Nothobranchius furzeri: one gene and its partner. The protein of the gene in region 2 purifies or fractionates together with the protein of the main gene of each other region. This does not show direct contact. Links are inferred from orthologs where the notes say so. Each region holds a gene or a part of one and is shown on either strand. Other genes may lie near its edges. The genes, in order: cdk8 and mediator of RNA polymerase II transcription subunit 13-like.

Region 1 (4,375 bases), on a different chromosome or scaffold from region 2:
ACAAGCATTAAACCGTCCGTCTGAAACAAGCACCGCATTTTCTTAGTTCCTACAAAACAATACTGTCCAAAGAGATGTTTATTGGTTTTTTAACCAGTTTGAAAGGCAGATCAACATTATCAAAAATAATTAATTTATGCTGTATTTAAAATGAAATTGTGTACATTTTACTTTAACATTTGTTATAAGCAGGTCCTCCTAAAAATGACTGAGATCACGATCCAAGAGTAGGTCATGAAACACCAGTGGGTGTAATTTCTAGATGATCTTCATTAATCAACGTAAATCTAAGAAGAGTAGCTAATTTGTCACTATTTATTTACTATCACGGCTATTCTCTCCACACAAAAAGATAAGAGACGATGTATGAATGAGCTAGTCAAAGAATGCTGACAGTTCTGGATAAAGTAAAGAGCCTTTAAAACAGTTTTTGTTAGTAAATCCTAGAAATAAACAAACAAATAAATAAAAGAAGATCCAAACTGTGAGCCAAATGCAAATTCAAATGCATTGTAAAATGAGTTCATAGTAAGAATTCTATTGTTTCCAGTTCCCGATAATGCAATTTTCCTACTAACTATGACCAACTTCTGTACTCATTTTATCTAATCACCTCTTTAAAATGAATGGCATCTTTTCATCTATGTTTCTGTTGTTAAAACATAAATTCACAGTGATTAGTTAACAGAGATAGAAATTAGCTTTTATTGAAGACAAATACAAGTGTTGCACTGTCATTGTGAATCCATGATAAAGAGAAATCCAAAAGGGACACAGATGTCCCTCCACAAAATTGTCCTCCAACAAATTACTTTTTACCTCTTCAACTCACCGCTACTTATATGGATAAACCCTTGAAGATGTCATAAATGGGGGTTTGTTATAAATTGTCAAACACTTCCATCAATTATTGGGTATTGACAACTTACTGAATTAAATAGGCCCAATTTTCTTATTTGCTTAAAATTTAAAAGATGGATATTTTGTTTCTTATTTACAAAATCTAATTGAAGGGCTTTTTTAACCAATAAAAACGCTTTTTGGTGGTTTCCTGTCTGTAACACGACACTAAAATAAAAAAACGCTGTTTTCACAATGTAAATGCGTTACTGATGAGGTTCTAGACACGTATTTCAACGTGGTTGGGTCTGCTTATCCCATGTTTCCATCCTCTTTTCTCCGCTGCAGGACCGTCTTTACGACGTTTTACGACAGTGCTGTCGTTGCCGACTATGTACGTCTCTTTGGAGCAGATACCGGCTGGGGGGAAACGCAGCAACAACAGAAAGAAATAAACAATTGAGCTAGTTTCCACTAGGACTACCTCCAAGCGTCGCGTACCCCTCTTCGGAACATTCAATTTGACCCGAAAACTCGACACGTAAGCTGGGTTGAAAGAGGAAAGAGCCACGCTGGGTAAGGCAACTATCTGAAATACCAACCCGAGCTCGGTGGAGGAGCCCAGCTGCCTCCCAAGCGACGCTTTAAAAGAAGAAGAAGAATAAGGACGGCGCTTAGACATTTACCCAAACCGAGGTGAAAATGGACTATGATTTTAAAGTGAAGCTAACTGGAGAACGAGAGCGTGTCGAGGACCTGTTTGAGTACGAAGGATGCAAAGTGGGAAGAGGCACTTACGGTCATGTGTATAAGGCGAAGAGAAAAGATGGGTGAGTTGAAGTGCAGCAGGCCTTCAGCAGTCAGCCTCCCTCCCTCAGATTAACACATTTAAACCGCTTCCTCACGTTTTCTGGCACAAAGGCCCTGTTCTGTAGCTTTAGCACCGTCTTCTCTTTATTATGGGATGTCTTTATTTCTGCAACACGACTGTAGCGCATATTTATACTGTTTTTGGTGTCGGTCTTTTATATATTTTTACAAATGAATATTCATTAGATGGAGTTTGAATATATCTAATTTTATCATATGCAAGTGAGAAAACTCCTGCAGAAATTAACATTTGCGCCAAAACAATGTTTATTTGTGGAAATACTAATAAAAGTGATGATCAAATATACTTGAAAATTAAAAACAAAATGATTCAGTAGCAGAACATAAAGTGAGATTATTTTTAATTATTTAAATTATAACAAATCTGTTAAATATATATGCTATTAACTTCAGTTTAAGTAGCTCTCATTATTGCTGCTGTTAATGTTTATTTTAATTATTTGATACTGTATTATTATTATTGGGAAGCCATATGTTTTTGAGATAATAGAAATGTTACACGCCGTATAAAATTAAGCTGTTTTGTTCAATGAATGTTTTTACTGCAAAGTAAAAAAAATCACGTTTTTTTGGCTTGTGTGCTGGATTAAACAGAATATTTCATATTTGTTTATTTAAGGATCCCCATTAGTCTTCACAATAGTGAAAACTATTCTTCCTGGGGTCCACTTGATAAAAGAAACAAAAAGAAAATGCATACAATATCACATAGACAGTGTAGGATTAAAAGTACAATATTTCATATACAATGTAAGAAAAACACAAACTCCTATAATCAACCTCATAAAACAAAATCATAAAAAAGCACTAAAAAGTCAATTTAAAAATGGATCAATGAATCAATAAAACAATAAAGTGTCAGGGTGTTAATTCTATAAATCTAAAATCTATTAATCTGATTGAAATAGCTGTAACTGTTGTCTGATATAAGCTTATGTTTTACAAATTTCTTGAGATTCACTTTAAACGCATCATGAACATTTATTGTTATTAGTTCAGGAGGCAGGATATTCCAGCATGTGACTGCTCTGTAAATGACTGTTCCTTTAAGTGCATTGGTTCTTGGCAATGGAAGAGTAAAGATAAATGAGAGGCATTCCTTGTGTTAAAACCATGCCGCTCACAGGTTGGTAACAACTTTGTAAACAAGCTGAAAGGTTTATGTAAAACCCAGATTTTGTGTAACGACACAACCAGGCTGCAGGCCGGTCTGTCATTTACACTCATCCATGACAGATTAAAATACATCCAGTGGATATTAGTTTTAAAAGGGCAACCAAGAACCAACCTCGCAGCTCTGTTCTGAGCTCTCTGAAGCTTGTCAAGGTCTGTCTTTGCTGCACTGGACCAAACAACTGAACAGTAATCCAGATGAGACAAAACCAGAGACTGTACAACAAGTTTTCTGGTCTCCAGTAACATATACTGAGCATTGCTCCTAATTACATAAATGCTCCTACTCATTCTCTTTACAATATTATCAATATGTGTAGTCCATGACATTGATTGATCCAATGTTATGCCCAGTAGTTTGGTCTCTTTTGCTTGTTCAGTTTGTTGTCCCCATAAATAAATGTCTAACTGGTGGGTTTTTCTTACCAAATTCCTAGAGCCTAATAGCATACACTTGGTTTTTAATACATTCAATTTTAGCTTATTTCCCTCTACCCGCTCAGAGATAGACTTTAACTCCTGTTGAAGCATAACATTGACCTGAACTAAACTTGAAGCTGAAACAGATATGGTCGTATCATCCGCATATAGAGTCATGTGCGCTTCACTGCATGCAAAAGTCATATCATTTACAAATATACTGTATAATAAAGGACCCAAGCAACTTCCTTGGGGAATCCCACACAAAAGAGTGCCAGTGTTTGACCGACTACCATTAAATATAACACATTGTTTTCTATTAGTCAAGTAGCTACTCATAAAATTGATAGCAGTCTTGTTAAAACCATACGCTGATAGTTTCAAAAGTTAAATGTCATGATCCTCAATATCAAATGCAGCACTAAAATCCAGAAGCACTGCTCCCACCAGCAGCTTCCTATCAATCTGTCCCAACCATTCATCAGTAAGAGTAGTCTGTGCCGTACTGGTAGAAAATCCTTCTCTGTAAGCATGTTGAACATCAGTGTAAATGCCATTCACCCTAAAATAATGTTGAATCTGTTTAAACATCACTCCCTCCATCAATTTTCCCAGAACTGGTAAGATAATGATCATATAGAATATTTATATCAGAAGAAGCTAAAGCTCTTTTATTTGATGCCGTATTTTGTGTTTTATGACAAATTTGCCCCAATATGTTGTGACTTTTAAAAATTTGTGACGGAAAAGTGGCCTGAAATCAAAAGCGAGGAGAAAATGCAACAGTGGCATTTTTGGTTTCAGGGTTCAGCTGTTAAAACGTTGCTGGCATCGCCTTACTTTCTAAAACGTTCTAATACAATATCTTTAAGCCCATCTGAGTCCTAGAACTTCATACCAGCTGGAGCCACACACCTAAAAGATGTTTGTGTTGTTCATGAGAGTCCATTAACTAAGTTATGCTGCCACCTTTGGACTGAGGAATCTGGGGTTTATGAAATGATTTAGGGAAGTTTGAGTGAGGTAGTGGTTGCATTCAAGTGCGACTCGA
Region 2 (4,622 bases):
ATGTTTTACGTTTTCTTGTGGCGCTAACCTACATGGATTAGACTCTCTTATGAAACCCAGAATTAGCTCAGTAAATCAGGCTGACCTCTATTGTCACACCCTCTGTTTGTGAGAACAGTTACATTATGTAATCATCAGAGTGACACCATCTTGTCATAGAAAACAAACAAACAAACAAAAAATGTTCTCCACAAACACATCAGGGACACATTTGGGAAGTTGGGGACAGTGTCTCCACCGTGTCCTCCCCTCCAGCCTCACATCAGAGACATGTAATCCCACACTTTGGTCATGTGAGAACAAACTTGGCCAAACAGAAAGGCTAGTCTCTGTTGAGCGCTTCCGACCGCCATTACATTACAATGCGTGGTGGGCTGGACGATCGTGCGCAAAAAGGAAAAAAAAAAGAGGCTTCAGCGCTTCGCGTAAAACACACACACACACACACACACACACACACACACACACACACACACACACGCATTCACACCGATTCACACTGAGGGTGGCACATCCAGGCTGCGCGCACGCCCATCTAGCCGTGTAATAACGCACTCTTGTCTGACAGATAAACAATGAGGAAGGAGTCGCTGCGGTTGAGGAAATCATGCACATGCTGGAGGATTTAAACCAACAACGACCCGACCGCTTCTCGAGAGGCAGGAGCACGCGATTCGGCCGAAGCAGTCTGCAGAATGCAACATTCGCCTTGTGTTGGGATCGGCGCCAGACGAGGACGGTCACTTTTGCTTGAAGGGGAAGAAAAAACCCAGAAAACCTGTCTGATATTTTTTTCTGCAACACTGAGGCTTTTGTGGCCGTGAGAGAGGAGGTTTCGTAAGCTGAAAGGAAGGAAGGATTTTTTCAAACCTCCATCTACAGCCTGTTTTGTCGTTTTCCTGCTCGGTGGAGTGTTAGACTTTTTTCGTCTTGCCTTTGACTCATGATTCGGGGTTATTTATTGCTGGAAACCCGCTCGAGTTTCATTTTTTTGTCCACGGAGGGGAGCAGCGTGAGGAAGGAGGAGGAGGCGGAGGAAGGGGGGAAGGTTGTGTTTCTTTTTTAGCGGATCGTCTGCGGCGCGTTTGATTCAGGAGCAACAGAGGGATTAAATATTCCTGCTCGCATGCAGCAGCAGCGCCTGTTTGTGTGAGCCAGACTGGCTTACATTGTGTGAGAGAGGAGCGGTTGTGGCAAGAAAGGCGGCTATAAATAGCGCTCGAAAACTATCACAAATGGTGCATCAGCTTTGTGGAGCACACGGAATCACGTTTCCTGCGTGAAATAACCATCGTTTCCAACTTTGACGCTTATTTCACCCCCATTTTTTGAGGATTTGTGGATTTTTGCCTTTTGGATTATTTGGAAACTGATCACATTCCTTGTGTGTGTTTATGTGTGTGTGTGTGGATTGAAATGGATACTGTTTTGTTGATCAGATTTGGAATGACCTGGATTGGACCAATGTTGTGATCCCCTCTCATCACACTCACGCGCTCGGATTTATCAACATTTATTATCTTATATGTATTTTTGAAGAAAAAAAATTGGATTTAATGGATGCATCGCTGTACACATCTCTCTGAATACGCCCATTCCCGAGTCTTTTATCTTGAAGCCTGACTCTTAAGGGAACCCATCTGTCACCCCTGCTCGGTGTTGAGATACCGATGTAGGATTTCGACATGCCCTGCGCTGGCGACCCCAAAGGCGGACGATTATGACTGCAACGGCGAATTGGGTGGCTAACGGGGCAAGCCTTGAGGACTGCCATTCCAACATCTTCTCTCTGGTACGGTATGAATAAATCATGCTCAGCAGCTATAGACAAGTCATAAGACCCATGGGAGGCACGCTTAAATGTGTGTCTGCTGTACAAAGGTGAACCAATTGCTGATGTTGTTATTAGACAATCATTAACATGGGTTAGTGGTGTGGGAGACCAAAATAAAGCCACTATTACCACTAAACCTGCGGATCAACAATAGCTGCTATTTATATTTATCTTTTCCCAAATGCTCTAGTTTAGCAGCTACAAGAAGATAATTTATTGCCAAATGTCCACGCGTTTGTGAAATAGGATAACAATGCATGCTTCATTTTGCCAACTGGAAAATCGTGTCTAAAGAAAAGAAACAAAGATTTGCATCAACAAGGCACACGACGGAAGCAGCCCTTTCACAGAATCAGAGAAAAAAACACGTTTTTCACACTACATGCGGTGTCATTTTTGCACAACTCATCGCTTTTGAGGTTGAAGGAGGCAGAGCAGTGTGTTTTCACAGTTTTCCTCCTGCAATCAGCGAGTTAACTGTCTTACCACAACAGGCAGCCAAGTGGAAAGGCATGCACTGAGCTCAGGCAAGCAGGGCTGCTGAGAACCACAACAACATAGGGGTCCTGAGGGCTTTTCAGGTGATCCTGCAGGTTGTGGACCATGTTACGCCAATCGCCGCCACAAATTGTGGCACAGGGGGCTTGAGAAAGCTCCTATGAATGTTTCATTCTAGTCTCCAAGGTGAACGAGCGAGAAGAAATAGATCTTGTGTGGTTTCCCGTGCACTGACACATGCTCTCCGGTATCAGACATCTTAAATTTTCTCAGCTTGACAACAACAGAAAACAGTGATTGTGTCTCTGTCACCATCTCATCTGAGGCTATTCCCTCGTGGAAAAAAGCTTTCATTCACTCACCGAGGCTTTATTGGCCATCATGAACATCCCTTTCAAACTGAGGGTGAAAGAGACCATCCATCAGCTGGCTTGTTGAGAATATTTATGACTGGCAAGTGCTTCGGCGGTCTAACTGGCAGGGTTCCTGCAGGGTAGTCCAAATAAGCAATGACACACACACACACACACACACACACACACACACACACACACACACACACACACACACACACACACACACACACACACACACACACACACACACACACACACACACACACAATTCCTGTAAAAATGAAACAGAGATAAAGACACTAACGTGCTCATTTAAAATGCATTTGGATGTGGAAATAGGGCTGGGTTCAACGGTTAAAGAGGATTTTCTGTTAAAAGTGAGTTTATTTAAAACAGAAGCAGCTCACACCTTAGTTTTTAAACTACGATTCTCATTTCAGTCCTGTTCCTAAGTGCAGAGATAGTCTGACGTCCTACAGACGCGCTCTGGACTGACGGACTCTGCACTTCCATGCGACGTTGACTGTTTGCAAGGAAAAACTTCTCAAGGCTACTAATAAAACAGCACAGAGCACATGGCTAATTGGCATCTTTGCTGTTCTAATGTGGTTTGATATGGTTTAGCTCCTAATTCCTCTTTTCACTAGGAGAAAACTAGAAGATAATTGCATTTGTAACATAATTTCCCTCGTTAGATCATGGACACTTGTTAGAGACATTACAATCTTTATATTCTCATCATTATGGCAGTTTTTTAAATTAAAAACAAAAAAACGCTGATGGTTTTGACATTTTATTTGGGTTAGTAATTAAAAAGAGCCGCAGAATAGAAATATTTTGGATTCTAACAAACCATTAGTTGATAGGGACATATGTTAATAGGCTAATTTCTTGGGTTTGAGCTTAATAAATGATAAGAAGACAGGCTCCATGGTGGGAAATTTCCTAACCTTTTCCTGTGAGTAACAAAGGTTGTGTTGTTATAGATAAAGGTCTTCAGGCTAGCTGTTGAGCGCTCTCCTCTGACAGCCTGTTTAACAGCATTCAAGCATGCACGGACCTTGTTCCTCTCATTTGCTCACTGTTATTGCAACTCACAACAGCAAAACACACAAACAAAAACAGCTTATTAGAAAGCATAAGTGCTCATACTGTGGGACTTTAAAGGGACATGGCAGATTACTGTCGTGCACTCTGCGTGGCCAGCGTCGGATACTTGGGATGGCTGCAATCGCAGTACCCACAAAACAACTGTCTCCTGCGCTGGCGACCAACCATCTGTGACAGAAAGCAAACTAGACCCTTGTAAGTGTGAGTGTGTGCATGTGTGTGTGTAGGGGGTGCAAAAAAAGCAGAGCTGGCATGATGAAGGAGGGGGGAAAGGGCACAGAATGAGAGGAGAAACAGAGTGAGGCTTTTCAGCAGAGAAGGACTGCAGCAGAATCTGTTTTCATTTTAGGAACGTATTATGACTGATGTACATTTCCTGACTGCAAGCCTCAGCCTATTTGAGAGAAACTGAGAGTGAAAGAGTGAGCCAGAGCACGGAGGAGGAGGGGAGGGGGAATTAAGGAGGGAGAGCGTAATGAGAGAGGGGAAGGGAAGACAGACATCTTTCTGTGGACTGCGTAGGTTCCTTTAACAGTGACTCCCTGCCTGATTATGAAAGGCAAGGAGGAGACAGTTAAAGGCCTCTCAACACAGGAAGCCTCTGTGTGTGTGTGTGTGTGTGTTTATACTGAGCACACTGTAAACCACGCAGACTCGGGAGACAAACTTCAAACACCGACCACATTGTACTCACATACACACACACGCACGTACACACACACACGTACACACACACACACACACACACACACACACACACACACACACACACACACACACACACACACACACACACACACACACACACACACACACACACACAC

The links.
Region 1: the proteins of mediator of RNA polymerase II transcription subunit 13-like (region 2) and cdk8 purify together in Homo sapiens (affinity purification with mass spectrometry; 6 studies listed by BioGRID and IntAct, counting the BioPlex papers as one, with this or other methods). This does not show direct contact. The link is inferred for Nothobranchius furzeri from reciprocal best matches to the Homo sapiens genes MED13L and CDK8.

Annotation. Positions count from the first base shown.
Region 1 is NC_091747.1:51,006,859-51,011,233, forward strand, and holds the start of cdk8 (cyclin-dependent kinase 8), read left to right. Parts: upstream 1-1,340; 5' UTR 1,341-1,542; coding exon 1,543-1,670; intron 1,671-4,375. Other genes in the region: E3 ubiquitin-protein ligase RNF6, read right to left, coding at 1-8.
Region 2 is NC_091746.1:54,299,166-54,303,787, reverse strand, and holds the start of mediator of RNA polymerase II transcription subunit 13-like, read left to right. Parts: upstream 1-1,527; 5' UTR 1,528-1,720; coding exon 1,721-1,792; intron 1,793-4,622. UniProt on the Homo sapiens protein: Component of the Mediator complex, a coactivator involved in the regulated transcription of nearly all RNA polymerase II-dependent genes.